4 linked regions of the Lepisosteus oculatus genome follow. The protein of the gene in region 2 interacts with the protein of the main gene of each other region in a pairwise test. Links are inferred from orthologs where the notes say so. Each region holds a gene or a part of one and is shown on either strand. Other genes may lie near its edges. The genes, in order: glycogen phosphorylase, muscle form; ntaq1; psme3; calpain-3.

The links.
Region 1: the proteins of ntaq1 (region 2) and glycogen phosphorylase, muscle form interact in binary tests that used the Homo sapiens proteins (3 or more experiments, as listed by UniProt). The two-hybrid records come from large-scale screens. The link is inferred for Lepisosteus oculatus from reciprocal best matches to the Homo sapiens genes NTAQ1 and PYGM.
Region 3: the proteins of ntaq1 (region 2) and psme3 interact in binary tests that used the Homo sapiens proteins (3 or more experiments, as listed by UniProt). The two-hybrid records come from large-scale screens. The link is inferred for Lepisosteus oculatus from reciprocal best matches to the Homo sapiens genes NTAQ1 and PSME3.
Region 4: the proteins of ntaq1 (region 2) and calpain-3 interact in binary tests that used the Homo sapiens proteins (3 or more experiments, as listed by UniProt). The two-hybrid records come from large-scale screens. The link is inferred for Lepisosteus oculatus from reciprocal best matches to the Homo sapiens genes NTAQ1 and CAPN3.

The regions. Positions count from the first base shown.
Region 1 is NC_090713.1:21,553,821-21,561,390, reverse strand, and holds the start of glycogen phosphorylase, muscle form, read right to left. Parts: upstream 3,015-7,570; 5' UTR 2,848-3,014; coding exon 2,605-2,847; intron 1-2,604. Other genes in the region: sf1 (splicing factor 1), read right to left, coding at 5,647-6,011, 6,386-6,547, 7,447-7,570. UniProt on the Homo sapiens protein: Allosteric enzyme that catalyzes the rate-limiting step in glycogen catabolism, the phosphorolytic cleavage of glycogen to produce glucose-1-phosphate, and plays a central role in maintaining cellular and organismal glucose homeostasis.
Region 2 is NC_090705.1:10,684,821-10,692,520, reverse strand, and holds the start of ntaq1 (protein N-terminal glutamine amidohydrolase), read left to right. Parts: upstream 1-4,691; 5' UTR 4,692-4,790; coding exon 4,791-4,870; intron 4,871-5,319; coding exon 5,320-5,419; intron 5,420-6,851; coding exon 6,852-6,902; intron 6,903-7,567; coding exon 7,568-7,700. Other genes in the region: ATPase family AAA domain-containing protein 2, read right to left, coding at 426-577, 3,086-3,259. UniProt on the Homo sapiens protein: Mediates the side-chain deamidation of N-terminal glutamine residues to glutamate, an important step in N-end rule pathway of protein degradation.
Region 3 is NC_090723.1:3,609,181-3,617,129, reverse strand, and holds the start of psme3 (proteasome activator complex subunit 3), read right to left. Parts: upstream 3,004-7,949; 5' UTR 2,962-3,003; coding exon 2,920-2,961; intron 2,047-2,919; coding exon 2,014-2,046; intron 1,911-2,013; coding exon 1,848-1,910; intron 605-1,847; coding exon 500-604; intron 1-499. Other genes in the region: nbr1a (NBR1 autophagy cargo receptor a), read left to right, coding at 4,813-4,914. UniProt on the Homo sapiens protein: Subunit of the 11S REG-gamma (also called PA28-gamma) proteasome regulator, a doughnut-shaped homoheptamer which associates with the proteasome. 11S REG-gamma activates the trypsin-like catalytic subunit of the proteasome but inhibits the chymotrypsin-like and postglutamyl-preferring (PGPH) subunits.
Region 4 is NC_090703.1:20,821,842-20,829,832, reverse strand, and holds the start of calpain-3, read right to left. Parts: upstream 3,009-7,991; 5' UTR 2,617-3,008; coding exon 2,335-2,616; intron 1-2,334. UniProt on the Homo sapiens protein: Calcium-regulated non-lysosomal thiol-protease. Proteolytically cleaves CTBP1 at 'His-409'. Mediates, with UTP25, the proteasome-independent degradation of p53/TP53.

The sequences.
Region 1 (7,570 bases), on a different chromosome or scaffold from region 2:
TGGCCCTGGTGTTTAGTGTGTGTGCCCTGTGACAGACTGGCGTCCTGTCCAGGGCGTACCCTGCCTTGCGCCTGTTGCTCCCTGGGATAGACTCCGGCTTCCCCCCGCGACCCTGTCCCGGAAGAAGAGGTTAGAAACGGGATGGGTTTGCTGGATTTTAATTGCTTCTCGGTAGGATGCCCCTCCCTTTTGCGAGACTGAATTCGGGTGGAAGGGGACACTTCTGGACAACCGTCTCTCACGGGTCTGGCTCAGCGCACTGTAACCTAAACAAGTCCAGAATTTACTTCACAGCGAAGCAGTATGATTTAAAACACCCCGAATAACACAGGGCGCCCACTCCCTCTGACAGTGGGTATGGACATCTACTTGTGTGACTCGTTTTTTTTGGTTTTTGTGGCGCTGCGTCGTGTGTTACAAGATCAAACAGAAAACACGAAAAAGGAGCAGGGTCTCACAAACTCTGGGCCACTGGTACATCGGAACCTGAAACGCTCAGCTACTGCCTTAGTCTTCCCCAGGAGGAGACTGGGAGTTTCATGACCTGACCCTGTGTATTTCCAAGGAGATAGATGTTTTCCACAAAGAGGAGTTCTTTTATATATCAAAAACGCAGGATTAATAACAGAACGGTGCCTTCACTACTCGTTATAATACTGATCAATAAATACAGCAAGATCACACTAAAATATCCAGGAACAGGATTCCTGCAGGATGGACATTTGCCACCAAGAGGATTTCCATCCACCCAGTGTCCAGCTGCTCCTTCCAAGGTGAATTCCAGGTCATGGGGGAGCGGGAGTCTATCCCAGCAAGCACCAGGCACAAGGCAGGGTACACCCTGGACGGGACCCCAGTCCATCACAGGACACACACACACACACCAGGGACAGTCCATCACAGGACACACACACTCACACCAGGGACAGTCCATCACAGGACACACACACTCACACCAGGGCCAGTTTTCCCAGAAGCCAGTTAACTTCCCGGCATGTCTCTGGACTGTGGGAGGAAACCGGAGCACCTAGAGGACACCCACACGAACGCGGGGAGAACATGCAGACTCCACCCAGACAGCACCCCAGGAAATGAACCCGGGGCCCCAGCGCTGCGAGACAGCAATGTCCATCACTGCACCCAAATTCCCCCCCTGGCCTGTACCCCTCATGGCCTCTCTGAACTGCTGGGCGTGATGGGGATCCATGACCTGGAAACCCCTGAATCAGGGGGTCTCTAGCCCTGATCTTGAGAAGCCACAGTCTAGTCAGTCTTACAGGTCCCCCTGAATCAGGGGGTCTCTAGCCCTGATCTTGGGGAGCCCCAGGCCAGTCAGTCTTATAGGTCGCCTCTTTTTACAGACTGGCAGCACCTGTCAGCTGTAACGATGGGCCAAGCAAAGTCATCTTTTTTTAATCACCCGTTGAGGGCTGAAGAGGACCTGAGGCGCACAGGCTCACTGAGAAATCGCTCGTGTAATGAACCACGAAAGGCACTGTTCCCCGTCTGGCGATTCCTGCTCCAGCACCTCCTCCGTGGGGCGCTGGGGTATGATTTCAAATTGAAATCTCCTTCTGAACAAACACGGAGCTCCGGTCTCCCCCGGGCTGGCATGGCAGGCTGGGGTGACAGGAAATGTCGTTGTACCGCCCGGCCGTGCTAAACCCACGGGAGTCTGAACCGGCTGCCCCGCACCGGTCTCTCCGCTGTCGCCGGGAAAAAAAAACGCCTCCAGGTCGGTTTCATTTGTTTTAAACGTCAACCTCAGACCAGAGGAGTTCTTGTTTGGCTACTGTAATACACGCTACGCTGTTCTACTTTGCCAGAGGCGATCATCCGGGGGGCGGGAGAACCCCAAAACAAAACAGGTGAACCGGGAATAAATCTCCCGTGAGGAATCCCGGGTGGACGGAGTCGCAAAACAAAATGGTCTACTGTCGCTCCGGTGCTTGCGAGACACGCAACCTTCAACTCCATTACACACCCGAGAGAGAGAACGCAAAAGACACGCCGCGTGTCACGATTCTCCTTCTCCCCTGCGATACGCGAATATGTGAAATAAAGTCGAGGGGGGGGAGATATAACCCATTCCGTTTCTGTTTCGAATAAGATTAAAGGACTGTGTATATACACATGACTATATATGACCCATTAGACGAATAAACAATATGATATTCTAACAGTACGCGCCTATCAAAAGGACAGCTGGCAGCGGGATGAACAGGCGGCGCCCTCGGAGCCCTTACAGACCGCGGGGTTCACAGAAAGACAGACGGGGGGGGTACAGGTACCCCGCTGCAACTCTTCGGTGTTTTTTTTACGGGGGGGCGTACGGTCTCGCACGTCATCGCGCCGGTGATGGGGGGGGGGAGGGATGCTTTGTGGCACGTCGCCCCACGCTCTCCAAAGGCCAACGGAGAGACGCAGGGATGATCCTTAGGGAGACTGTAAAAGACCCCCCCCGTAACCCCCGGCAAAGCCCAGCGGCTCCGGCCCCCCGTCCGTCATCACCTCCACGCCGGCCCCGCCCCCCAGCTGGCCCAGCCTGCATGCGGCAAACACCCCCCCTCCCTCCTCCTCCTCCTCCAGCGCCGGGGTGCTTACTTTGGGGTCTTTCTCGTAGTAGTGCTGCTGGGTGCGGATCCACCGGCCCACCAGGTGGTCGCGCACGGTGTTCGCCAGGGCGAAGTAGTAGTCGCGCGTCGACGACACGTTGCGGTCCTTCACCAGCGTGAAGTGGAGGTGGCGGTTGAAGTTCTTCTTCAGGTCCGTCACGTTCTCCACGCCGGCGAGCCCCCGGACGGAGATCTGCTTCCTACGGTCCTGGTCTGTCAGAGGTCGCGACATCTTGGCTGGCTGGCTGTTTCGGGCTCGGGTAGCTTCGCTCTTACGGTGTGAATGCGGCTGAAGGAAACTGGAACATGCAGTCAGGCGACACCCCCCTCCCCTTAGTCCTCAGAAGCCCCTCAGCTCTGTCCTACTGCAGCGGAGACCCGCAGACTGTCACCACTCCCCGCCCCCTGGCCGCCTTATAAACCGGCCCTCATTAATATGCAAGGAGGGGGCGGGTCCCCCAGCGCCGGCCGCGTCCAATCGGCTGCCACGCTAACGGTCGCTCAGTTAATATTCATAACGCGCCCTATTAGGCGCCGCGATTGTCTCCCCGCAGAAAGCGAGATGAAAGGACACGGCTGGAAATAAACACGTTGCCCGCCCCCCCTTGGTGGTACAGATGAGGGGGGGGTAGCAGAGACGGGCGTTGCTGAACGTCGTCAGGTTGAAAAGCGCTGCTCCCACCGATGATACTCGCCGATTCACTGTAGGACTTAAATTCCTCTCATAGCTGGGAAGCACAAACTACATCAGTGTTGCAACAATTTTTTTACCCTACAAGGAGTAAGGGAGGGAATATCTGAATTTTTTCCCAGCAACCGCTACGCTTAATCAATTGTCTTCATCTTAATCAAGAGGCTTCCCCAAGATGTAAATAAACTCCACATCCGCACCGCTATCAATGAGTAGACTTATATGGCCACAAATCTCTCGAGACCGAGCATTGCACTGGACCACAAGTCCCATCGTGCCCTGCTGCACTGGGGCAGCTGGAGAGGGCGTCCGCAGCCAAGCATGTCTCTGGCTCCGAGGCGTCTATTTAAAGCGCTGACCCCCTCCTCAAAGGCCAGGGTTAAAAAAAGACGCCAGGATGAATGATGGGAGCAGGGGGCTGAATCTGGCAGCCAAAACCCCCAGCGGTCACCAGCGCACACAAAAGACAGGCAGGAGGGCACAGGGTGGAGCTGTTAAAATAGGGTGCTGGGAGAGAACACTCTTCTGTTCCTGAAAAGCATCGCAACCGCCATCCTGCAGAGAATCTTGCAAGGTTTAAAGCAGGGCGGGTAAGACTGCTATCCTGGAAGGACAGAAGGCTGCCCTTTTCTTTCCAGTCAAGCCCCTTAAACTCGTTCCGTTTAATCAGCCCAGCTGAACCGTGCACGTTTGGGAAGAAAGAGACTTGGACAGCGGCGGCCCACACAGCTGAACTCGGGAGTATCAGCACCATTAAGAGTTCAACCCTTTTTAAACATTTCCACCTTGTACCTTCAACAGAAACAGCACAAACCAAGAGCCCCCCCCTCCCTCCCCCAGGAACAGGACAATGGGTTCTGTAAATTTATAACTCCCCTTTATTTTCACTGAAAAGATACAGAAAATAAACATCAATAATAGAAAGTCAATAGAACCGATATATCAAAAAGCCGCTCAGGGGGCTGGGAAGGGGGCACAGCAGAACTCCTGGTAGCAAGACCACAAAGCACACTGACCAATACGTAGTGTTGCTGGCAAGGTCACAGGGGGCGTGGGGCCCAGATGTCCAACTTGGGGAGAACAAGCTTAAAAAAAAAAACTACAAAAAGTCTTTTTACACGTTTAACAGATGACACATTTTCGATGCCAGTTCAGGAACATTCGTAATACTCTTCACATCTGACGACTTGCACATTTTAAGGCAGACAAACTGCAGGTCTTGCCAGGGGCCTTTTAGATGGTCAGTTTCAGGACGCGGTTTTGAATGACAGAAAAAACCCTGAGGGAGAGGGGGCGGCAGCTGGTGAAGAACAGCTTAGATCTGTCTACTCGGGGAAACGGTTCTCATCTGTTGAGGAGAGAAAAGGCTTCTGCCGTTTCAAAAGCAACAGGCACCACCCATTAGCAACACCGACCTTTCAATCACATTTTCCCACAGCTTCTGAATTTGACTTCGCAAATAAAACCGTTCTGTGGCTTAGAAGATCTTCCCGCGATTCAGAGGATCTCGGAAGCCCAAACTACCCATTACAGGGGAAAATAAAAAGATTTACAAATCGGGTTTCCATCCACAGCTTGAAATTAAATGACCTATGCCCCATTAGGCCCTAATGAGTAATTTTAGAAAGATCCCAGGGGGTTCATTTTTCATTGCAAACCAGGACTGGGGAGGATCGCCTCTTTGGATCACAAAATTACCAAGGAAGCTGTGTTTTTACAACAATGAAAAACCAAACATCTCACTAGGAAACAATATACACATAACTGACCCCCCCCCCCCAAAAAAACAACCAGGAGTCCTAAGCTAGGACAGCAAACTCAAGTTGCAATTTGCAAGCTAGAAGACAAAAGAGGTCGATGCCAGGGTGAGATTTACAGGGAAGAAACACGGGATTGATCAGTTTACCTGGGACTGGGCTGGGAATGCCGACACTGTTCCTCAGTACAGCACCCCCGTCATGCTCAGACCTCCACAGCAGAATAATTACACACACACACACAGGGGTCTTCCGGTGTTTCAAGTCTAAAACCAACTCGAAAGAGCGCCACGTTCATCAGGTCTAAGACTGTTCCACACAGGAGGACTCTCCTCCCTCGTGAAAGACTCTGCAAGAGGGCCTCGAGGGTATGGGACCAGTATACTGGTTTCACCACCACACTCCAAACCTTTAGAGAACAGCGTGGTGATGTCAACGTTAAAAGTTTCCCCTTTTAAAAATGCCCTGTGTGGAAATCCAGTATTTACATCGTGTTGTTTTTTTCTAAAAACAGTTGCGTTAAGGTCAGAGTCCGCACATCTGCTCCACCCGGGGGTGGGAGGGTGGAAGGAGGGGGGGCAGCTTAGTTCTGGGGGGGCGGAGGAGGGGGCGCAGGGGGCATCCCAAAGGGCGGCATCCCGGGGACCCCCATCCCCATCATCGTGACGAAGTTGGAGGGATCCATGGGGGGCGGGGGAGGAGGGGGGGCGTACATCATGCCCGCAGAGCCCGGAGGAGGAGGTGGGGGAGGGGGAGGGGCGCCGGGGGGCAGAGGAGGCTGGACTCCCGGCGGCGGGGGCACCAGGGAGGGGTTCCCCATGGGAGGCGGGGGCTGGGCGGAGGACCCCGAGGACTGCTGCTGCTGCTGTTGCTGTTGTTGTTGCTGTTGCTGCTGCTGCTGCCAAGGGGGCAGGTTTCCAGAGCCCGGAGAAGAGGTGGTGATGGTGTCTACAGAGCGGAAAACAAGGATCGATGGTCAAGCATGAGGAAAACGGAGAGACTCGCCAATCTAGTACCAAGTCTGATGTATTTAAGGCTTTAAATAATCGAGTCTCTTCGGTGATCATGAATATGCCAGTTCTGCTTGACTGTACTAGAAGGTCAACTGCTACAGTCACTTCCAATAAGGAGCACACAGTACGGACTTTGAAAAATTGAGGACAAAAAATACCATAAGGAGCTGAAAGCTCTTTGAACCAGAAGCCGACGGCCACCACGCCGGCTTCTCCAACTCAATCCCCGAGAGCCCTGCCACCCGAGAACCGCCTGGCTGGGGCGAACGAAGCAGGCTGGCTGCACCAAAGGGGGGGTGGGGGACTTACTCTGTTGCCATGGCAGCGGTGCGCTGGTGGCCATGCTGCTGGTCGGAGGCGGAGGGGGGGCCTGCTGCTGCCACGGAGGGAGCGGCGCTGAAGGCGGCGGCGGCGGCTGGCTATTGGGAGGTGGAGGAGGGGGCATCAGACCCATTGGAGGCGGCAGCAGGCCTAGAGGGCAGAGGAGAGAGAGAACCGTCTTTAGGAGCTCAGAAGGCTCAGAGGAGCTGGCAGGGCCTTCCTGCATCCCCTCGGAATCCTTACTGGGATGCGCCAAGTCCGGGCCGTCTGCACAGCGAGAGGCGGGGCTGTAGTCCTAAATTCACAGGCCAGTTATTTTAAAATTCTTCCATCTCGGAACGCAGCAGAAATCCCTGAGCTCTGTGAAAGTACTGCAAGTTGCCATGCTCCCGAGAGTTCGCACGAACTGCGACGTGAAGCAGCCCTTCCTGCTCACTGTAATGTACTGAGATGTACGAGTGGATAAGTACAGGTTGTGCAGCAGACATTTCACCGCAGAAATGTTCCAGCGTGATCCGCAGGCAGAGTTAACCAGTGAGCAGTATTTGCCAGTGAAACCGTCTTGGAGAGGAGAGCAGTATTTCTACTGGATTAGAAGAGCTGGACTCACAAGCCTGCTTGTTCACTGTGTCGCAGGGCCGGACACCTGAATCCCAGAACATGGCGCTGAGCAGACCTGGAAACTTCCTGCGTTTCGCAACGTAAATGGGAGGTTTTACCCGTTACGGTGGACATTTTACCGTTCTTGTGGCTTGAAACGCGCACATCACTGCTAATCCTTTTAACCCCAAAACATAAAAATACCCTTGCAGTTCCCCTTTGACCTGGGGCAGGTATAGCCCCACCTCCTTTCAGTGTAATCAAAAACAGGGAAAGAATAACCGGTATCGAAGGAGCTCGCTCGACCTTCCTTGCTGGGAGAATAACCGTGCAAAGCCAACCCGACCACCACATTAGTTTTCAGACTTTTCACACATGGGGGCGACAGGCCTAAAGCTTCTTTCTGAGGTACCACACCGCATAGCGCTCACAGAATCCAGTTTCATTACCCCAAGAAGTCTCACCCATATGGGGGTGTCCGTGTGGCCCAGGACCCTGGTTCATCGGAGGAGGGGGGGGCTGCATCCAAGGAGGAGGGGGCCCGTTGGGGTTGGGCGGCATGGGTGGGCCGCC
Region 2 (7,700 bases):
TTTACTCATAACCCATTCTCTACTGGTTGTGTATACGTTAGAAGAAAGAAATCAATGCTACCTTAATGCTGTGTTTGCAAATATAAAATGGGCAACTGAATATTATTAACTGCACTCTCTAATCAATAATGCCAAACAGAGTTTGATGGATGCACTCTAACCTCAAAGCGAAATATCAGATATTGCTAAAAAATTACAGTTCAATCTCGGATAAAAATGTGAAGATCTCACCAGCATTTTTAAAGCTGTGATTTAACAGCAATATCCTCCTGCCCTTTGCTAATTAGAACATAAATTGGGTTCCACACTACACTGAGCTTCACCAGTAGACCTTTTGTAATGGGGCAGTAATTTGTTTCCTCATAATCGGTTCTGAAAGGTCTTTATAAAAGACATTGTGTTCTCCACAGACAAAAAGACTTTACCTTGTAAAATGTTTTCTTTCTTTCCCGTCCTTTTGTGGAGTTTCCTTATCTTTAAAATCAGAGAAAGACACCTCTTGCTTTTCCTTCTGCCCGTTTGTCTTCCTTAGAGATAGTTCAGCTACATTTTCTTCATCCTTTACTGATACATGGCTCTAAATTCAAAGGAAATTTTGTAAAACATGTGTCATTTCTTATTTCTTATTATAAAAAAAATAAGACAAGAAAGCAGAATTGATTTTGGGTGAAAACACATTTTCCTAGATTCTAGATGCGCTTTTCCTCACATTTGTGCATGAAGATTATCACAATGTCATACCAAACAAACGTCTTTCTTGATGAGGCTCCTTCTGTTTCTATTCAGCCCAACCTTACAATCGTTGACTGTAATAAAAATCAGACTCCAGCTGTAAAATGCCTTCATCCTCTCAACAAAGGTACGAAACAGTATACAGTATCTCAGCAAGCTGAATTAAAAGAGGAAATCTTACTGGCTTACCAGTTTAAATGTACCTAAAAGTTACAATAAAATAGCAGATCTAGTTCTTTCCATAGCTTTCACCTGTAAATTAAGTTCCACACTCGAAGGGTAGTTCCCTAAATACGTGCAGCAGGCCTTTCACCCAGAGATCTTATATATTATCCATTCATCCATTTTCTAACCGCTTCTACCACAGTTCAGGGTCACAGGGGAGCCAGAGCCTATCCCAGCAACCAACGGGAGCAAGGCGGGTGGGGTCCATCACAGGGCACACAAGGGCCAAATTTCCCAGAAGTCAATTAACCAACTAATAGATGTTTTGGAGGAAACGAAAGCACCCTGAAGAAACCCGTGAGAATACGGGGAGAACACACAAACCCCATGCAGACAGAACTCCGGGTCCAAGATTCAAACTAAGGCCGCAGTGCTGAGAGGCAGCAATGCTATCTGCTGCAATATCATGCTGTCCAAAATTAAAATCTGATTGACCACATTACAGCACAATAATAATAACTGCTTACACTTATATAGCAATTTTCTGGACACTCAAAGCGCTTTACACCACCAGTGTGCAGCATCCACCTGGATGATGCGACGGCAGCCATAGTGCACCAGAACGCTCCCCACACATCAGCTATCAGTGGGGAGGAGAACCGAGTGATGAAGCCAGTTCATAGATGGGATTAGGAGGCCATGTTTGGAAAAGGCCAATGGGAAATTTAGCCAGGAAGCCAGGATAACACCCCTACACTTTCCGAAAAACACCCTTGGATTTTTAATGACCACAGAAGTGTCAAGACCCTGAATTAAAGTCTCATCCAAAAGACGGTGCCTTTTTACAGTACAGTGTCACCGTCGCTATACTGGGGCATTAGGACCCACACAGACTGCAGAGTGAGCACCCCCTGCTGGCCCCACTAACACCTCTACCAGCAGCAACCTTAGGTTTTCCTAGGAGGTCTCCCATCCAGGTACTGACCAGGCTCACACCTGCTGAGCTTCAGAGGGCTGCCAGTTGTGAGTTGCAGGGTGAAATGGCTGCTGCTGCAATATCCAATTGATTCAGAACATCAGGCTCCAGACATACTGGACACAGGTCAACTAGCAACATAATCACTGACGCTGCCAGGTCGTGTTTTTATTAAGATTTCCATTTAAGGTTTCTTTTTTTCACTTAATAACACTGCCTTCTGTGATCTGCTCCTACAACTTTTGGCCAGCTATTGGACAGCTTTGAGCTGTTACCAACTGATGGGAGCACTTGTGCAAATTTCAGCGACAGATTACTGTTCAACAAATCATAAAAGACAATTTCTTAACTACGACGATGGGGAGTAACTATTTTAAAGACACGCTTTAGATACTGCATTCTGTGCCTGGAGAGATCACGACTTTCTGCTAACGTTTAGCTGGCACTGACGTTACTACTCGCAGTAACTTCAAAATCATCCCCTTTCGTCTCCAGGTGTCCACTACTGTCCACCTCAGGAATTATTCATCCTCGGATCTGCAGTATGACAACCGAGCCAGCAGCAGATTTTGACATGATCTCCTTTATTCAGTCAAGTCGTAAGGTTAGTAACTGGGCTCTGATGACCCGGACACGCTCACCTCTTCGCCTCTAAATTAAAACACATGGACATGGAAACTGAACTTTGATAGGTCGAAAACGAAGCTAATTACCGATAGGCCGGTATGAAAACAAGTCGTATAACGCGTGAAGGAAAACTGTCAGTAACCTTAGTATTTTGCATTTATGTTTCTCTGTTTAAATGCAAAATAAGAATTTTACGGACTGTGCACCGGGTTTCGTCCTCTGTTAATTCACACGTCATCCCAACTCTCACTCTCTTTGCTAGAAGTCAGTGATGCTGTCAGGCAGCCCAGATCATCTGATCTGAGAAAGCTCTGGGCGACCAGAAGAATAAACCGACGCCGTAGTCCAGTTGTTATCAGTTTGTTGCGATTAAGAGCCAACACGCAAGGCTCCCTATATCACGAAGTGTCCGGCTGATCTGGGGGCCAGCTGTCAGCCCCCGACTCAGACAGTTTCTTGGGAAGAAACCGCAGCTCGTCTAGTCCAAAACAGCTGTCATTCCTGACGCACACACCCTCCCATTAACAGCTTTATCATTATTATTATTATTATTTCTGGTAACCCGCGAAAGGACAGGAGGCTCACGTGTCGAGTCGGGGTGTTCTCGGCTCCGCTCGAGCTGTCATCCGCGGCCCTCCTGGAGCGCGCGGAGCGTCTCCGCGCGGACGTCAGGGACAGAAACTCGGCGCTCGAGTCCAGCGCCGGCAGCTTCTTCGGGGACGCGGGGTCCGCGCCCGCACTGCTGCGCAACATCACCATTATAGCCCCCCGTTCTCCTGCTCAGACCGTCAACGGACGTGTTGGAAAAGTGAAGAGGTTTCAGAGTAGGAACAATCCGCTCATGTCCCTTTTCCGGTAGTGGCCGGACAGTTGCCGCTAGCAGACAACCTCTCACTTTTTCTGTTTTTCCAGCCCTTGATTTCTGGCGCCACAAACGTCACAGAAAGTCAGATCACTACCTGTATGTTGCTCCGAAGCAAGAAATAGGCCACGTAGGTACACCCTCTTCACTTTGGAAAGTAACGTCCTGTTTCTGACCACACTATGCTGAAATGGCGGTGACGATAAGGAATTTCTATATGACACCCCTGCGTCCTGTCGTTCTTGTTTTCTAAACACCTTAAGAATTTTATTCCATCCTGCGTAGTGATCTATTTTGAAAGGGTGCCCCGGTAACTTTTTGGCGCGTAGTAAACAACGCCACACGAGGAGCTTTCATTGGCTAATAACAAAGGCCCCGCCCCCAAGCCGAGGTCATAACAAGCACGTGAGGCTCAGGGAAAACGCGGGAGCTGTCAATTCAAAACAGCCTTCTGTTGCAGTGCATTCTGAATATCTGCGTTACACAGTTACAGGCGTCTCTAAGAGGGGCAAATAAGAACAAAAGGAAAGCTGCACTTTATGAAATAAATGTACATTCCTTACATGTCTCAAATACATACAGAAGCGAGGTTCATTCTTTCAGTTTGTGCACATAAATCTTTAGTGTTCGTGGTAAAACCAGCGAATACGTTAATAATGAAAACTTACCAATGAATTTGGGATTAATTCAGTTTATTTATCGTCCTAGAAATAAGGCAGAAGGACCCTGGGAACCTCTGTTTATAGTTTTATAGAGGATTGCATTTCGTATGTATAAAAGCCATCTCTGGCTGATTTTGTACAATTTTTTAAGAAGGAAAACTGCTAGCCTGTTTAAATTTAATGAGTGAGAGGAGAGGGATTTCACAAACTCATTGAACGCCATGCTCAGACAAGCTTATTTTGTATTTGTGGACGTCATGTACTTTTATCAAGTATGAAACAACCAAGCTAGTAGGTTTGCTGGCGCGAACTAGTAACGATGAAACTGTTTTTTTTATTGTAGTCATATATCGAGTCTGTATAAACGACTGTTTCTGATTGCTATGGTTAACGTAAAGTTAAAGTTCGATTAAGTATTTATCTCTATACCGTTGCTTTTGTATTCAAAGGGATGACTGTAAGAAATGTTTAGCTTTGAACCACAGTGTTTGATCTTTCATTTGTGCATAACACTAAATATACTTTTCATAGTCAGGTTATACATAAAGGTTTACCAATAAAAAGCGGGTGAAAACAGTCTGAATTTATATCCACCAAGAGGTTAACATATTACATAAAAGTTGTTTGCCACCCGGAGCAATAAAGGTGTAACATATCCAGTCCCCCTGTTTTTAACGTCCGCATGATGTTACGTTCCTTTTTTAGATGAACAAGTCAAGAAAGTCAGGAATTCACTTTACTGTTCCCTGACATCTTCCCTCGAGTCATGAATAATACAAACGAATCATCTCATTATTGCAGTATTACACCTTCCAGACAAGACTGCATCTATACAAGCTGCTACTGGTGAGGACAATTGAGTTATCCACAGCAGATATTAGGGTATTCACGCTACCCTGTTGATAAGTCTCTTGTATTACTATCAATGAAACTGTGCGGCAGGACTGTGAATACATTTGTGTTTTTATTTACTAAAGTTGATTGTCCTGTTATGCCTTTTCTTAAGAGGAATTCTGCTTCGATGTTTAAAAGGTTTTTCTTTTGCTTTTGAAGGAACCTTTAAATGCTATCCGGATTGTCACGAATAGAATTAAGTTTGTTACTGTGGGGTTTTTTTTTGCGGAATGTTGTACCCTTAACGGTGTGCATAACCCCTTTTTAATCTTTACAGTAGCGCTCTTTTTTCCTGTTTTATATTTTTATTTGAGGGCATGAATGATGAATTTAGTTTACATTACCTCTAGTCGCCTGCCAATCTACCGATGCAGACTATTAAACTCTTTTTTTGTTGTCAGCGAAGAGAATGTCTGGAAGCTCTGCGAACACATTATGACTCGAAAACAATACCCTGAGGATGGAGTTTATGCAGTGTTTATATCCAACGAAAGAAAGATGGTAAGCTGTCACATATACCCCTGTTTTCACCAAGTCTAGGAATATATGCACAATGTATATAATGTATATACAATGTATAGCTCTGTTTTTGCTGATTGGAAAGACGGTATGCAGATTTCTGATTTTGTTTAATTGTTTTTAGCATCATTGTAATCATTTAATACTGACTGAGTGAAACACACGAATGACTTTGTTACATGAAAACTGATTGGTAACAGGCGATGAGCACATTTCCTAGAATAAACAGGACACAAGCTCTCTTCTCCAAAAATGTCTGTTTCACACTTCAATTTCAATTCAATTTATTTTTATATAGCACCTTTCACAACAAGGTTGCCCCCAAGGCACATATCAGTGTGACAGTACATGACGTTACAGTCCAGAAAGAGAAAAAGCCAGAAGACAACGGAGGAGAGGAACCAAAAACTCCTCTGTAAGGAGAAAATAAAACTCTAGGGGTCCAAGGTCAACTGGCTGCCCAACCCCTCTGGGCATGCTAACATTAAACAATTCCAAAAGAGTACTAAATGTGGAGTATTGAGTCTTCCATCATGTCCTTCTGTGTGCCAGTACTCCATGCAGTTATCTGTGGACCAGCAAATTCTCCTGAACTATAGCTACAGTATATTCGTGATCTCCCTCTTGGATCCATGGCAGAGATGCAGCATCCAGCTCAGATGGTGCCCAGCTTGGAACCTCTCAGCACTTCAGCAAAAGTCATTAAAACTGTTGAATGCCAAGGTGGAGGAAAATGAATAGAAAGAAAAAACGCATATGACTGCTACGCTCTGCTTAAATCAAGAGAAAAATAACTCTGTGTCACCAGTATGACACAATACCCAAATTACTGGGACAACAATCTCAAAACTGCTATTTTTGCTTTATTGCCAGTCTGTATTTGTGATCATGAAATTGCTATGATTGGCATGTCCAATCTTATATACTGTAACGCCCCGGGGTTCGCGTGGGTGTGCGCCCTCGCCGCTGCCGCCTCAGGACGGCCCCCCACCGTCAGGGACTCAAACCCGGGCCTCCAGCGTCACTCAACAGGGACCCAGCCACTAAAGGGAAATCTCCCATCAGCCTAGTGGCTACGGTCCCTGCTATTCCCAGGGAAGGGCGGTGACGTCACCGCGCGGATAAGCCGGCTCTCACAACCAATGGTGGCCGTATGCGTTACAATACTTTTTATTTTTAGGAAGCACCATTCATATGTTTGCTAACATTTGATGAAAAAGAAACTTTATTTTCAACCCAGTGATTTCAAGTAATTGGGACACTTGCAGCACAGACAATTTGATCCTCCAAATAAAATCATGAAATTAATTTTCATTTTATATGTTGATTAACTTAAAATGTGTCTGTTTTCTGCCTCTCTTTCAATAAGCTGTAAATGACGTATTAATGGAGTACAGTCTGTCTTGTGTTTCAGGTTCCAATCTGGAAACAGAAGTCAAGCCAAGGAGATAAGCCAGTAATTTGGGTAAATTGCACAGATAAGAACCCTGTTCATCCTGAGCCCCAAGATGAGTGTCGCATTAGAGAGTGCCATTTCAGATGCACCTGGTGGTAACCCAGCAAAATTAAACAGATATGGCATGACTAATAAAACCTTTATCCCTGTGCTAAATTTGCGTGTTCCCCCAAATGAGAAATCAACACAATAAAACAAAAGAGAATTACTGACAGCTGAGGCTGATTAAACCTGGCTGTTGTCACTCCTCCCCAACCTCTGTTATAAACTTCGTATCTGGGCAGTGAGAGAGAAGGCAAACAGCTCTCCCTGTCTGAGATCTTGAATTATTTTGTTAATCTAACTTGGTTCTTAACAGATCTCTAGCTCACTGAATCCTGCTCTCTAGGTGGGTGGGTGTTTCACGTGAAAGGAAGAGCAAAGGATTAATGATGAATAAACAGTTCTCTCCTGATTCAAGTTTCATGACATGTATATTAAAGATATTATACAATCAAGGTCCTAGATGACCAGTGTGTCTGCATTTCTTTAAGGCATGATGAACTATGGGAAGCTATTATGCACTGTCTAATTAAGCCGGTAACTAGCTGATTTATCTATTTAACGTCTGAGTTGCAGTGCAGACCTGCGGACACATCAATCCAAACTGATATACACATTATTCTCTTCCCCAGGACTACCATGTTATCCTGCTCCATGAGAGCCGTGAGGGCCAAACTTATATCTACGATCTGGATACCGTCCTGACCTACCCTTGTCCATTCGCTGTGTACGCAAGGGATGCCCTTCAATCAGATGATTTTATCA
Region 3 (7,949 bases), on a different chromosome or scaffold from region 2:
GGATAAAAAATAGAATACTCTTGGCATATTTCGTGCGATGGCACCTCAGATTTTACCTCATGCCTGCTGTTGGCGATTCCAAACGAATTTAAAACAATTGTTACAATGACAAATTTTCACTTTTCTACAAAAAAAAAATCTAAGACCAATTGTTTTGTGGTACAATTTTCTCTTAATCAAGGGTACAGACATGAAATAATAGCCTAAATAAAAGGTGGGCTGCAGGAAAATAACTGAAAATGTTGGGGAGGAAAGTATGAAAAGACCTCATTTGCTCCTAGCTTGTACGAAGGCCATAGTATTTAGATGAACTGATAATTCCATGTGGGAAGGGTATGTTAAAAATAGAACCATTGTCAATTCTGCATTGAAAACAAAATATTAAACCTCCATGTAAATTAGCCCTCAAACAGGCTCAGCCATCAATCCAACTGTTTGGACTGATCGGTTTTATCAGCTTTTAAAAAACAAGGCTCAAGAGGAACAGCATTATACTCACAGGCTCCAGCCCATCGTGGCTGTTTGTGAGGATGATGGGGTCAGGCACGGATAAATTGATCTCTGAATGGATGTCTTTCAGCTCAATGATGTTTAAGATCGGGTCCTGTAGAACAGCAGATCAAGGCACAATGAAAACACATGTGAACGTCAGCAGCAAAAGGTTCTGCCTTGAAACCGGACCACAGCCTTCATCTGAAGAGTCCTGTCAAACCACCAGCCTTGGAGACACGTAACTTTATCCTTTCCTTTAACATCCAAGGAGTGATGATTAGTCCTTGAGCTCAGAGACCTCAGCTTGTTTTAAGACCTCATTAGGCTTTAACTGTTCCTTCGTCAAAACAGAAAACACAAGTCCTTTCCCCCCAAGCATATCTGCTTTTTAACATTTTTCGTTAGTTCCCTTCTTGAGGAAATAACCACAAGGCAACAGAGAAACATTTCTCTCTCCCGTTCGGCTGAGCAAGGGGTAAAGCTCTATTCGCTCACCATATGACAGTCACACAGCATTGGTCACGTACTCGGCAGTGATCGTTCAAACCAAGCACCAGACCTTAAATCTCTTCAGTAACTCCAGAAAATGTGAGGCTCCACGTTACTGAACTCAATTCTAGCTTGATTCACACATTGATTCCAGCACTGCTGTGGTGCCCAAGACGTAAGGCTGCTAACTTAGAAATGTTAATTAACTTCACCCAGTACAATTCATGGTTCTGGGAGTGCGGTGACCTTTTTAAGCCTCTCTCGGACGTAGATATCTGGCTACACGGAGGGGGCTTACACCCTCTCCAGAACTTCGATCTGCACGAAGGTGGTTATTTTTCTCCTCTGCGGTATTATTGCCATCCCATCAGCTCTCCGACCCAAAGGTCTGGCTAGGGTGTAGTAAGCGTTGATTTCAGCACAATGAACAGCAAGTCGTGTAGGTGAACCAGCAGGGGGCAATCTTCTGTTGAAGACAGAATTACTAATTGAAGAGCCCCACTATGGGGACAGGGAATACCGTGCTGTACAATGATTTCAGATGAGATTGAACTAATGTCCTGATTATTTGGTTGTTAAAAGATCCCTTGAAACAGTTTTTCCAGAATTGGTATGTTAAGCAAGCATCTTGACTAAATCCCATTCTGGGCTTGCATGATCCAGCATGGCTAAACGTCTGGAGTAATTCTCACCACAACTGATTGGTGATTTGCTTTTCAAAGGTGAATAAAGTGCTCTGGGAACCACTAACAAGGAAAGTGCAGTTTAAACGCAATTCGTCTTCTTCCAGGTCTCCTCAGCTGTGGATAGGAGCTCTTACACAACGAAAACCGCGCAAACATAACGGTAAAAATCGAAAGACTTACCTTAAGAAAATGATCGAGTTCCAGTAACTTCTTTGGAAAGAAATTTGCGACTAAGTCTTCTGCCTAGAAAAGTAAACATTGGGAAATGCGAGCTCTAAGTACAGTACAACTTAGTTTTTTATTTACGTTAAAAGAATCGTTTTAATTTGAAAGCAAAAGTACTTACTTCACCGGTGATTCGTTCTCTGAAAGCATCAACCTGTAGAAAGAGTAAACGTAAATCGGGGTCCACAACTAGACTGTCAAAGACTGAAACGTTACCCGTCTGTGTAGAACATTGCCAAGGCTGTGCATTTAATACAGTAACGTAAGATTACGCTTGAAACAGAATACAGCACAAATGCAATAACACGTGAACATGATGCTGGCCAATATATCTACTGGGTGCAAGATTTTTCATTCGTTTTCGCTGTCTGTAGCTTCATCGGGACTGTCTCCTGAACCGAATTGTTTTGTCACTCAGTTTTTATATAAATATATGAGCACATGCGCCGTGCGACTCTGAAGATATAGATTTCGAATAAGATAAACACCCAAGATATCCGGCTCCAAGGAAGTAGCTGTTGAAGGGACAGCAAAAATGTTTACGATCGTTTTTATTCTTTGACACAGCTCTTGGGATTGGACCCGGACATTCACTCAAAACAATAAACAGGACACGTGTCAAAAAACACGAATTCCAAACGCAGGCCAAATCGCACTGAATTTATTGTGCATTACAGGCGCTACGATCATACTATTATTTCACATTATGGAAAAGACTCAACCACAAACGCCTTAATTTCGACAGCAGCAGACACGCACCTCCGGCCAGAATGAAAGAAGGGGCAATACTATTGGAAATATCGGAATATACGGAAATATCCTGTTTTAACTTCAGATAATTCCATATAAATCGACATACGCAGAGCAATTATGACTATATCTGTGAAGCACAGCGCGGGAAAGCCAGGCGATTATGCTAGGCACTTATTTAATACCCCGGCCTTGTGTTACAGAAAAATTTCCGACTGTTCAAATTTCAACACCACATCCCCCTCGCGTCAGTCTTTCTCGGATTACCGTCTCTTACCTTAGTTTTGATTTCATTGTCCACTTTGAGGAGAGAAGACATTCTATTTTCAGACAAATAGGGAAGGGAATCTGAGATCGTATTAACAGAAATAACCGTGTGGCTCCTTTCAGCTCCTATTCACAGCCACAAGGTATCAAAGGGAGAGAACGAGAAATGACGTAGAAAAGCCGCGACGACAATGAGAGGCGAGGAAAATCACCCAACCACGTGGAAGTAGCGTGAAGCTGGCTACACTAAGCGACACGAATGACCCGGAAGTGTATGTCAATAGCCGAATTTCAATCAAAATAAAAGACTTTCAGCTACCACAGCAGCTTTTGAGGAGTAAAGCAACATTAAGCGAAGTGACAAGCAGCTGAAACACCTGCTTTATTTCGTCATGGTTAATTTGAGAGAGTCCTTTTTTAAATTTTAAATCGCCTCCACTTATCTCCAAGTTTGACAAATCTAAGATTATTAGAAGTTTGTATTAATTTTACAGCCCCTTTCTACTACTGTAATATACTGCTATATTTTTTTTTCATAAAAATGTTTCTGTTCAATGAAAAAGGTTTTAAGATGCAAGCTTTTAAAGGAGTTGTATCTGAAATTTGTAATTAAATAAAATCCTTTATTATATTTAAATTCAATCATTTTTTTAAACTATAACCAGGGACAAAAACATTTTGTGCACAATCAAAAGTGGTGAAACATACAATGTTAAGACAGTCAGTCAATAGCAAATCACCCTTCTTCATTCCGTTTTAAGTTTTTATTAATATTGTTGGTCTGGGTGGATCACCTCTAGAAAAACTGCAGTGCAGAATTGGATGGGGAAAATTTGTGCCTCTCCAAAGGTGGATGCAATCTATTGCACAGACCCTCAGCTGATAGAAAATCACCTTGTTTTTGTCAGACAAGTGTCTCTGTCAAAACTGCTGGGGTCTGTAGAGCACCTCCCATCCCCAGACTGAGACCGTGCACTGATGGACAGGGAGCGGTCTCACCCACCTCCCGACCAAACACAAATTTGTGCCTCTTCAAAAATACCTCATATCTATTCTACAGACCCTCAGCTTATAGAAAATCGCCATGGTCTTGTCAGATAAGTGTCTTTGCTAAAGTTGCTGGGGTTTATAAGACCGTAAAGTACGGGCCTTGTGTAGAATCACGTGATCCGCAGAGCACCATATTACCAGCAGTTGGTTATCATTCTCTTGTCTTTATTTATTTATGCATAAACAATAACAACAAATACAATACAAACAAGCGTACATATAACATTTTACGACAAAAACATCGTCAGGGGGTACATATTACAAAATAAATTCAAATTATGAAAAACGTTTAATCTTTCTCTTATGTCCATCCAGGGTTAGAATCACAGGTATCTGTGTAATCTGCATTGTCATGAAACATTTGAAAGAAACTATAATTAGCATCTGCAAATACAAATATAACTGATTTACAGAATATGACATGTATTGCGATATGTTGTAAATCAGTATACGCCTTTAAAGCAATGTAGCTTAACATCTGCTACAGCAGATGAATGAATAGGTATCGTTAACTTATATTCATAGGAAAAACACAATTTGGCATCATCATGGTCAGAAGCGGGAGCCTAAAATGATATAAAGAAACACCTGTCAAACCCAGCGCGATCCACTCGTCTCTCCCGGTTTGAGAGTGCGCATGTACCCTCTTGATGACGTCGGGCGACTTCCTGTCACGTGGGGGCCCGTGTTTACCGCAGATGTAAACAGAAACTGTGGGGAGAAGAGCTTCGTGGCCGAGCTCCGGAGGCAGGCGAGAAGCTGGCTTGTAAAAGAAGAAGACCGTGCCATCGAGTAGATCGCGCTGCTTCTTTGTTGGATGACCTTTGCAGACTTGCACATCTGACAGACGGCCATGGACTCCCCCGTGAGCTTGAAGGCGCATTTTAAGGGACGGGCGGAGAGCCTGCTGGTGTCGGACTCGGAGAGGACGCGCTGGGAGGCGGTGGAAGTGGCGGTGAGCCTCCGGCGCGGCGGTCGGACCTCGGCGTCGGCCTCCCCCCCCCCCAGACACGGCCCTTCTCGAAGTTTCTCCTCAGTTTAAAATCCTGCTTTGCTTCCGTTTCAGGGCCAGTTTGAAATTCCGACGCGCTGTGTATGCGTACGGGCGATAATAGGATTTCCGTGCCGTGCGTGATGTCAGACATTAGAAACGTCATAAATCGTAATCGCAACGAGTAGCCCTTATATCCAATTAATAAAGACCTGGCTCATTCTTTTACACACACTGTACTGTGTTGGTAGCAAAACTATCAATACAGGAGTCATAAAAGAGTCGTGAATGACTGCCCGAGGTTCTGTGCGTGAACTGGGAAAATACCACAAATATGTTTACCTTAACAATCGAAATCATAAATTACAATTAGTTCAAATCTACTTGGAAAACAACCTTATCTGTTATGAACGCTGGGTAGGAGGGCTGCCTTGTTTGCTCCTACAGATCGGCGCCGTTTTAATTTTTTTTTTAAGAATACTTATGTCATATAAAGAGGAGAAATGTTTCTGACAGGTTTGTGGGGCATTGAAGAAACACTGTGTTAAAGGTCACGAAGGCATGACCTTTCGATACCGGAACAAAACGGAGACATTGTATTATTTTCCTGCAGGCGAGTGAGTCATCCGCGGTGACGCAGCATGTCCTTAATGCTTACAGTCGAGATGGAAACCACTCGCATCTGTTCTCCTCGCCCTTACGGAGAGATCAAACAAACAGCCCATAGTAATCAGGAACAGTTTGGAAATGCACATATCCACCCGCGGTGCCCCCATCAGAGTAGAAAGTGAGAAAAAAGAAGACTCGTCCCGTGTAAATGTTGTTTTAGATGGTCCGGCCACCTGCCCGAAAACCATTTTGCATTCTTTGGCGTTTTATTGTGAATACTGTATCTGGCTTGGGACAGCTCTTTCAGAGCACAACATCCCTACATAGGTTCACAGTACATATTGCATGTTAGTCAACATACAATAGGATGACTAAAAACAACAGCTCTTTTCCATTAAAGCTACAGAAAGACAGCGGATCAGTTGCAGCGACCTGAAAGCGCCGTTACAGCTGGAGTACAGGCCGGTGTTGGCACGCAGCTCCATGAACTAGTCCTTGAGACCAGTGGCAACGAATCTGGCCGCTGAAATGAGCCCGCAGCTCCGTACTGAACTTGGTCTCAGTTGCAACAGCTGCTGCCCTCTAGAGCTCACTGAGCAGGGAAATCGCCTCTTCGCATGGCTTAACTTTAAACGAATTAACAGCGTACTAAGCGGAACTTGGGGTCACATTAGAACCTTCTCGAATATAGTGGAAATATCGTCACTAAGTAATGAATTTATGCGTCCGTGGCTTTTTGTTAATTTAATATTATCCTAATATTTAACTAAAATCGCCTTTCAGACACACCGCAATTATCCATAATGAAGTTAATTAGTAAACGTGTTTATTAATAAAAGTGTAATTTATTTATAATGAAGTTTAATGCTGTATTACAGCAAATGTATAGAGCCCTTAGTATGCGATTGTGACTTTTCAGATGTCCCGGGAAGTGGACATAGCTGAAAGTAAATACATCTTTAAATTGGGTGTAAATTTCAGATGTGTTCTGTCTGCAATGGTATAAATGTATCTCAATACATAAAATTAAAATAGCAACGTGTTCGCTTATTAGTCTGTCGGATCTCCGTAGGAATCTTATCTCATCAATGGGAATAAAAGCGGCTATAATACAAGTTCAAACTGAAACCCGCAACTACTGTTCTCGTTTGTTTCGTTCCCTTATCTGCTATATTTTTAACATAAACGCCGTTCTAGAATTTAAAATAACATTACATTGCCAGGGACATTCAAATATAACTATGGCCTATATGTTAATTTACTGATTAGAGTGAGTGCACGTTCTCCCCACGTCCAGGTGGGTTTCCTCGGGGTGCAACAGTTATCGCCCACAGTCCAAAGACATGCTGGTAGATTAACTGTCCTTAGTTAGAGAGTGTGCGTGTCTGTCTGTCTGTGTGTGTGTGTGCCCTGTGACAAAGTTGTCTCCTGCCCAGGGTGCACCCTGCCTCGTGCTTGTTGCTTGCTGGGAGAGGCTCCAGCTCCCCTGCGACCCTAAATTGGATGAAGTGGTAAAAAAAATGGACTGATAGAATCAACTGCATGGGATACAGCAGTAACAATATTAACAACAGCTTGTTTTAGAGAAGCAGGGCGATTGTTAATAAACTTGCCTAGCAGCTACCCCGTTAAGCAAGCATGACGAGCCTTTTCCAAGTGCTTATGTAAAACAGTGGCAGAGGAATTTTCTGTAATTAAATTTGCCAAATTCTCTTGTGGTGTGGGTAAAACGCCAGTGACAGCTTTCTGTGCATGCCTTCCCCACATGATAAGGGCATTAGTATAGTTGCTCTCTTATCTTGGGTCTGAAAATTAGAACGGAAGGCTTAGTGAAGCATAAAATGTTCTTTTTAATTAATTGAAACGGCTTTCCTGAGCCCCATGACATGCAATTCAATGTGGTTCTCTAGAGGAAGAGGAAAAAACCCCAATAGTTTCAACACAGCAGATTAGAGCTCATGTTTTGCCCCACCTAATTACATGATACTTTGGCTTATCACCACCTTCTCATGAAAACGTTCCTCATCTTAGCCAGGTTTGAGAAGCCCTAAGTTGTGGCTTTCATGTTTAAAGAATAGAATGCCTAAAACGGAACTATGGTGGGATGTTTTTTTTAACTTTTAAAGACATCTAAGGCATTAAGGCTTATTTGTTCAGAAAGGGCTGTATTTTTTGTGTGCTCATTCTCTCAGCTGGACTAAGGTCTGTGCCACACATGCTTTATGCAGCAGCTTTGCAATCCTGTAAACTCAAATGCATGCCTCCTTAACAAAAAAGAAACCTGACAGCAATAAAAGTAAGACTAGAGGATGCCATTGGGTTTGACTCTCTCATTTGATCGTTAGCTGCTGAATTGAATTGAGCATCTTGCCCAGGTGCGTCTTAAATGA
Region 4 (7,991 bases), on a different chromosome or scaffold from region 2:
TGCTTCAGTCAGGATTGAGAGTTTCAAACCAAAATAAACAAACACTAATGAAGAAAATATCCCAAAATGATCACCGGAGTCTGGAAAACACTGTGGACAAAACTGCTTCTGCTGTAGTCATACCTTCCATCTTTACATACTGTACATGTGGGCAGTGAATAAGCATCAAGAGGGCAGTTTAATATGATCAAATGCTCTGTTTTCACTTGATACTCCACACTACTGTATATCTCAACAATAGAAGCTGTTTCATAGAAGGTGGAAAGTGTATTCATACTACAGTAGGTTCATTGCAAGTAAACCTGATTAGGGTTGCCTGGTTTGAAACAACGCATCAATGTGCTAGTTCATCACATTCACTTTAGCTCAGCTGTACCGAGTTCATTTCTAAATATGGAACAAGTAATAGATTTATTCCATGCTGAAAAGAGTAAGAAAGAAAACACAACATTTCGGCCGTGGAGCCTTCTTCAGGTGTCAAGCTGACGCAGCTACCCAACTGAATTTCTAAATATGGTTGCTAATGACACCCATGATTCCTGGACACTTTGAGACTGAACAGGATTTCAAATTTGCCCTGAAACCTAACCAAATTAAAGTGTAAATGGATCCATTATCTTTTACTTTTCATAGTAAATTTATTTGACATGAACGTTTTGCAATTATCTTAATAGTTGTGACTACTTTTGAATAAAATATATTCTACGAACAGATTCATCTGTAAAAGAAACTGCACATCTGATTACATAATAAACAGGAAGAGGCAAATTAGGACACCAGCATAGGCAATTAAAAGGCATTTTTAAATAAGAATGTCTGCATTTGATAGGTAGATTAAAGTTTAATTTAATTTTTTAAATGACGACTTAGTTTTTACTTAGTAAAACGTTTTTTTTTATGTCGCAATTCTGAGATACTTAGTCGGAATTCTGAGATACCATAGCGCGTTTTGTTGTTTACTCTCTGGCTTCCATAGATACAGTATCAGAGTACCTCATTTAGTTTACATTCAATGTTAGTCTGGTTCGGCTGGATTTATACTGTATGGCGATCGTCCTTTGTTCCTTCCTCAAATGGACCTAACAGTACGAAAATACGAAAGGATACGAAAAAGCTCTTGAATGAACTCTTAAAACCGCATTCCATTTGGACGGACAAAACTTTAAAGCAGTGGCGGGTAAACGTGTTCGGAAAATGAAAATGTTTCAGTGAAGCTCTGGACAGTGAAACGCGTAGCCGGGCAAGTTTTGTAGGAAACATTAGGAGTCCGAGTACCTAATTACAATCTGCATACCCCAGAAAGTCCCGAAACAGTATCCTACTGACAGGAGCCAAAGTTGGTTGTCAATATCTAAAAAATAATATTTATTGTAAAGAACAATGCAATTAAGTTAATTTACACAACACAGCAATTCTAGTGTGCGCAGCTGCCAAAATGCAAGACGCATTTCTGCAGCCTAAACTTCAAATTTGAGCATTTTAAACACATTCCTGATGACAGTACTCTGTACTCAACTATCCTAACAGGGATAGTGTATGCAAGACTACACCTACCGCTGAAAGCAACATAATATATCGTAGTCAAACCGACACAATCTCCTCTCATTTGTAACCTTTCTTACGAACATATCCGATTTTCGTACCTGTGTGAATTCACAAAAGGTCGGCAAAAAACTCAATATATTAAAGCAGTAAATGCATTTTGTGATGCCAGCCAGCTTTACAATCACTCCTTACAATATCACTGATTAAAAACAGGAATAGACACCATAACGTTTTTTCAGAGGAATAATATAAAACATCTGTTAAAAGTACGAAAGACAGGTTGTGATGTTCAGGTTCCTAACACAGAACCTTGCTAGCAGGTGCGCCCCCTTGTGGAAATCAGCCGCTAAGGATGGAATCACAGAATTTTCATAACGGCTGTTTGCGACCCAATTGAGGTTAACCTTTCCCCAGCATTTAGTCGATGACTTCTAGCTTGATCTTTTCGTTACATAAATACGTTTGGTGTTTCCAATGTATTATGTATCACATGCATTTGTATTATTATACCAAAATGTAGAAAGTGACAACAAATGTTTTCCTGTCTTCCTATCCATTCTACTGATGTCTGCAAGGAGCAATATCAAGAACAGCTGATTGTCTTGCAGTGGAATGGGAGATTTCCAACGCAGCTGGCGTTTGATTACTCCTGACATGACTGATACAGCCTTCTCATGTTTATTTAAAAATTCTGTTGCAAAAGTTGTGTATGCTTTGTTATAACTAAACAGTTATCTTATTTATGGTTTTCTGTTCAGACTCTGCAGAGTGGATGAGCTGTATACTCACAGGTGGACGTTTCCATTCAAATTTAATGGGGTATGTCCCACTGTAGAACAAAGAGGAGTCATCTGCTTTGAAAGTGGGGTCCTCAAAGAGCACCTTCTTTTTCACGTACTTGTCACGCAGCTCATAGAAGCTCTTGAGCCTCTTGGCATCGATGATAGTGTGGTTTCGGTTCAAGATGGCCGAGTATATCCCACCAGGTGTCCCCGAAGGGCAGGCACTCTTCTGAGGCATTGGCGAGGCTGTCGTCCTGGTTGCCACGGTAACAGGTGTTTTTGTCGCCATTTTTCCTTCTTAACAAACTCCACAAAACTGGCAGCTTGTGTGAAGTCCACAGCAGAGTTGTGAAAGAAAAAAGAGCAAGTACGTATACCGTATATATTTAAAACTGATAATGGCTTCAACTGCTAAGGAGAAATCTGTCTGTCAGAAAGTTCCACTCAAGCCAGGCTGAAAAATTAAAATTTCATTTTATTCTTTCGTGTCTGTTCCCTCCACCCCCACCTTATAAATTGACAGTCCCAAGCTCTGCACTTGCAGACCTCTCTTTTACGCATGACCGACACAACTTTTTCTCAATCTTTTCCCTTAACTTCCCCTTCTTTCTGCTGGCTTCCAGTTTCTTCAGACACACACGCCCATGCAGGCTCTCGAAAAAACGCACACACACACAAACCCTCACCACTTCCCTAGCAATCTCTACCAATTGGGAGCTCTAAAAATAAACTTTTAAAAAGGACGGAGGTGTCTACTTTCAAACACTCATCTCCAGGAGAGCTCTCTCCACTCCAGTCAGCTTGGCTGGAGAGAGGCACAGAAAGAATCTGGAGCATCTGTGGCTGTTATAACATGTAGCAAACAGTCTTCTTGACTGATTGCTGGGGATAAAGTTTACATTATCTCTAGCTTAAATCAAATTTGATAATCTAACAGTTTTGACAAGTCAAGCACTCCCTTGAACTGGGGAAGCAAGATGATGTAGCATATGGTATTACACTTGGTACAATATACAGACTGTAATTTTACTATACAGCACTGTATATGGTGCTGTTTAGAAGAAGAATGCAACTCACTTTAATGAAGATTTACTAGTACCCAGTGAATGATTTGTTTGCTACTTGCTGCATATTCTTATGCTTGTTGAAATAGAGTAGGCCTCCCTTTTCTTTTTGATATGCTTGTACATAAATTCACTCAAGGACTTCTCAGATATTCCACTTCATGGCAAAATTATTTTATTGTAGTACTGGAGGGGTAACAGATCTAAGACAAGCCATAGCCATCCTCTAGGGATAATTTGCTAGGTGCTAGGTGGTAATGGACTGTATTGGCACATTTTTTGCAGAAATTGAGGATGCCGTGGTTAAAGGAGTGCAATGTATGATTGGCACCACAAGTTCTAGACTCTAGAATCTAGAGCATAGACAGCACTTAACTGAAAAGCACTGACCCAATATAACATAATGCAGCACGCAAGTGAGTAAAGTTCGTAGGACAGAAGAACACCAGGATACTGAATTTCCCAGAACTGGGATACTGAGTGCGTGACCAATGCAAGACGTACATGGGTCATGAAGCTCATAGAAACACAGAAAATACACCAACTGAGGCAACACCAAGGTGCACCAATGCATGAACTGCATGCCATACATTCTCAACAGAGTTGCAGGGAGTACTTTCAATTGCTGGGTGCACCCAGACATGGAGTGCACAGACATACAGTATGAAGCAGCTGCTGAATGCTTTAGCTGTGAGATGTGACAGCTCTCTGAATGCATGGCATAGTGGAGTTTAACAGCAAGGGGAGGAGTGCACAGCACAGTGCAGTATCACTATCTGCAGGAATCATACAAAATGATGAAAAGCAACATTGCATCCTTTTTGCATTTCACCCTGCTAAGTAGAAAGAAAGTGTGTAACTACATCTTCCTGTGCTGATTAGATGAACATGTTTAATAAAAAAAACGTATTCAGAGCTCTCAGCTCAGCTGTTGTGCTGCTGTTCTCTGTCCTACAGGGGGCAAGAGAATACAAGAAATGGTAAATTCCCAACATAGGACCTTGCACAAAAACCCTTTACCAAAAACAACATTTTAAACTGAATAAACTAATAATAATAAACTAATAAACTGAATCTATATTAATGGTTCATATATTCTCGTTGTTGTTCATATATTCTATACTTGTTGTGTAGACTTATTTTAGACAGGGCACTACCCTGATTCCCCTTAAGGAGAGTGTGAATGTTTCCATGACAGGAATTAGCCATGTGGAATATATATGTGCCAAAAGTATTCAGACATCCAGAAAGCTGAGGTTTTGCTGAGACTCACTGTTTTTCAGTCTCAGGTGTGCTGTTAGTCATGCTGTTTTTTACTATCTGGGCACACTATAACAGGGTGCCAGTCGGGTTGGTGACTAGGTTTGGGATGGATAAAGAAAGCACTGCCTCACTTACTGTAAATGGGGGAGAGAAAGAGACAAGGAAGAAGTAAATGTTTATTCCATGCTGAAAAGAGCAGAAAAGAAACACAATGTTTTCGGCTGTGAGGAGCCTTCTTTGGGAGATGTATAGAATGCTGCTGGGGAGCTCAATAAATAAAAGATGCTTGGGGTCTGGATTCCATACAACACCGAAGACATGTTTAACAGTGCATTTGTTTTCTTAAGTTGTAAGCTGTATATTTTTTTTGCAAAGAGAAAAGTACAATATACTGTGGCCAGCAGAGAGGTTGTGAAAAACCCACTGGAGCAGGATATATGAATGCCCTTTCTGTGAATGCTGGCAAACACACTTGTGTTTTTACGATAGACTATTTAAACAAGTTTAAGACGTCTGCAATTAAGCCAGCATTCACCTCTCAGTCAGAGATCAGCTGGATGAGTCACTTCCTGAACAGAGCCCTAAACAGGCAGGGGCAGCTCCAGTCCCTCTAGATGTTGATGCTCTCTTCATGTACACCACTGAAGAGCATGGCTCTGGCCATCATCCTGCTCCTGATTCCTCTAGGTACAAACCTTATAATCAGGGCGTCACTCAACAAGAAGATCGTCCATGTTTAATTTAAAAATGATGTCTTGTTTTTTTATTTTTCTGTTGCTTTGAAATGGGTGCAAAAAACATACAGCTGCAAACTTTCATATCTTGTAATTTCTTTTGAGAGGAATCTAATGCACAGTGTATTTCAAAAAGCTTTTAGCAGCATGTTTGGCTTTCAAGACATAGGAAAATGCATCTTAATGGCTGGAAAAGAGAAATCATTTCATATTTCACAAGTGCTGTTTTCAGTAGGACCTTTTAGACTGGGCTAACTGCATAATAAGTATGGGATTCTCTGATATTCTCAAGGTTCTGACATTTATTGACTGTCTTGTTTCTCCCTTCAGCTCTAGCAGTTGACCAGTCTCCCAATGTCATGATTGAAGAAGAACACAATGTGACTCTGTACTGCTCTCAGAAAGGCACCAGCTACAGTGGAATGTACTGGTACCGCCAGCTGCCTGGACAACATCTGGAGCTCATAGTATATTACTATTATGACACGGAATCAATGGAAAAAAAATTTGAAGGAAGGTTCTCTTCAGAGCGGAAAGATTCATCTTTGTACCTGACTGTGCGGGAACTGAAGTCTGCTGACAGTGCTGTGTACTTCTGTGCAAAGCAGGAGGCACAGTGAGCTGGCTGCACGTGAAGACCAGACAAAAACAGATCTATGTTAGTATCACTGTTTTGTTGCACCTGCAACACCAGCTACAAAGTTATTTCTTACTCCAAATGAGAGGGAAACCACATGTAATTTTATTGTTATCAGCATTAAAAGAAATTAACTGTAATCATGATGTATTTCCTTCCCTCAAGCCAGGTGCTGCATGGCAGTTTTGAAAATTAATGTTTCTGACTGATGCCAATCAGTGATGTTGCTGTAGCTCAATATACAGTAGCAACACTTTGTGAATATTTTTTGATACTAGCTGTTATTTCCCTCCCCAATTGCAACAGATCTTCAAAAGACTTTTTGAAGAAATTTTATTTGTGGAGTCTTTGACATGTCTTCTGGGTATTTGTAATTGATTCCCCGACTATTTGATTTACTGGGCGGAATGGTCTTCCTCTATTTTGTAACTTCTTTTACTGTCGGTTTTTGCAGTTTCTGATACAGTGACTGTATTATCACTTAAATATCCTGCTAACCTAATGACTTCCTCATTCCTTGACATACTAGCTGTGTCACTTCCTGTACAGAGCTCCTACCGATCAGAAAGAAGACACCTGTTGACTCTGAAGGTGCTCATTGTCTGTGTCAGTAGAATAAGCCTCTGGACTTCATAGGAGAGATGAGATATCCTCTGGCTTCTCTTCTTCTCTTACACATTATAACAAGTAAACTTGCTGACTTTTATTTGTTTCTGAATTTTTAAGAAAAAGTAACACAATTCTTTTGTGAAGCAAGCAATCTCCTAAAATAGTAAAAACTATTTTAAATGACAAATATTGGAACACAGTTATTGTTGAGAAGAAATCTGTGTTCTTAAATGGACTGTTTAAATGGTTTTCTATCTTAGAATATAAGTACTAGTTCTTTAAATTTTTGCAAGGGAAGCAATATCAGGGAGTTTTTATTTCTCTTCTCACATTAGCTCTTTTATTCTCTTTCAGCTGGTTGTGGTCAAGAACTCCATGTCTCCCAGACCCCACTCATTCTCTGGAACAATACAGGAGAGTCAGTATCGATGCACTGTGAACACCAGGGGGGTATTAGCTACAATGCTATGTACTGGTTCCGTCAGCTCCCAGGAGAGAGAATTCAGCTCATAGTCTATTCTGTTGTTGGTATTGACCCTGACTTTGGAGAACTCAGTACAAAGAAATATGACGTTAAAAAGACTGAAGCTCAAAAAGGATCTTTCACAGTGAAGAATCTGGAACCAGGAGACAGCGTCACATACTTCTGTGCAGCTGGCAAACACAGTGATGCAGAGCTGCTGCACAACTTGTCAAAAACTCCTTCTCCCATACTTAAGTCTGTACTGTTTGCTGTCAAGAGTACAGTAACTCATCTTGATCTGTAGGGGAGGCTACAACACAAGGAATAGTGAAAAACCCAAACACTGAGTGGTACAAACTTGCTCAAATCTTTTAAACAGTTAAAATCTTTCCTTGTGGGGTGTGTCCCATACAAAATATGTCTTTGGCAGTAATGATAATTGTTCAATTCTTACATTGCAGAGCCAAAGAAAGGACTGTAGTCCAAAATAAAAATATTTTGCTGTGGAAACATCGGCTCCTTTAACCTACAAAATCACAGTTAAGTTATAGGTGGAGACATGAATATGATTATAATCTGTGCAGTGGCCATCCTTGTGATTGACACACAAGGCTTTGTTAGACAGCATCTTGTGGTGTTACAGTAAGTGTTAACTTCAAACATTTCAGTTACACTGTGGTTGTCATAGGTATCGCAGAGGAGGTGAGTTCTGGCCTCCTGTCAGATGTGGCTCTGCTAAACTTCTTTTCTTGTGCATTCTTGGGGATTTCACATGAACATTCTCCACCTCACTCCTGGATGTGGACTCATTGTTGTTCCTGATCAGCCCGATACTTGTGGTGCCATCTGCAAACTTAATAATGCGGCTGCTGCTGTAAGTGGCTGTTCAGTCTT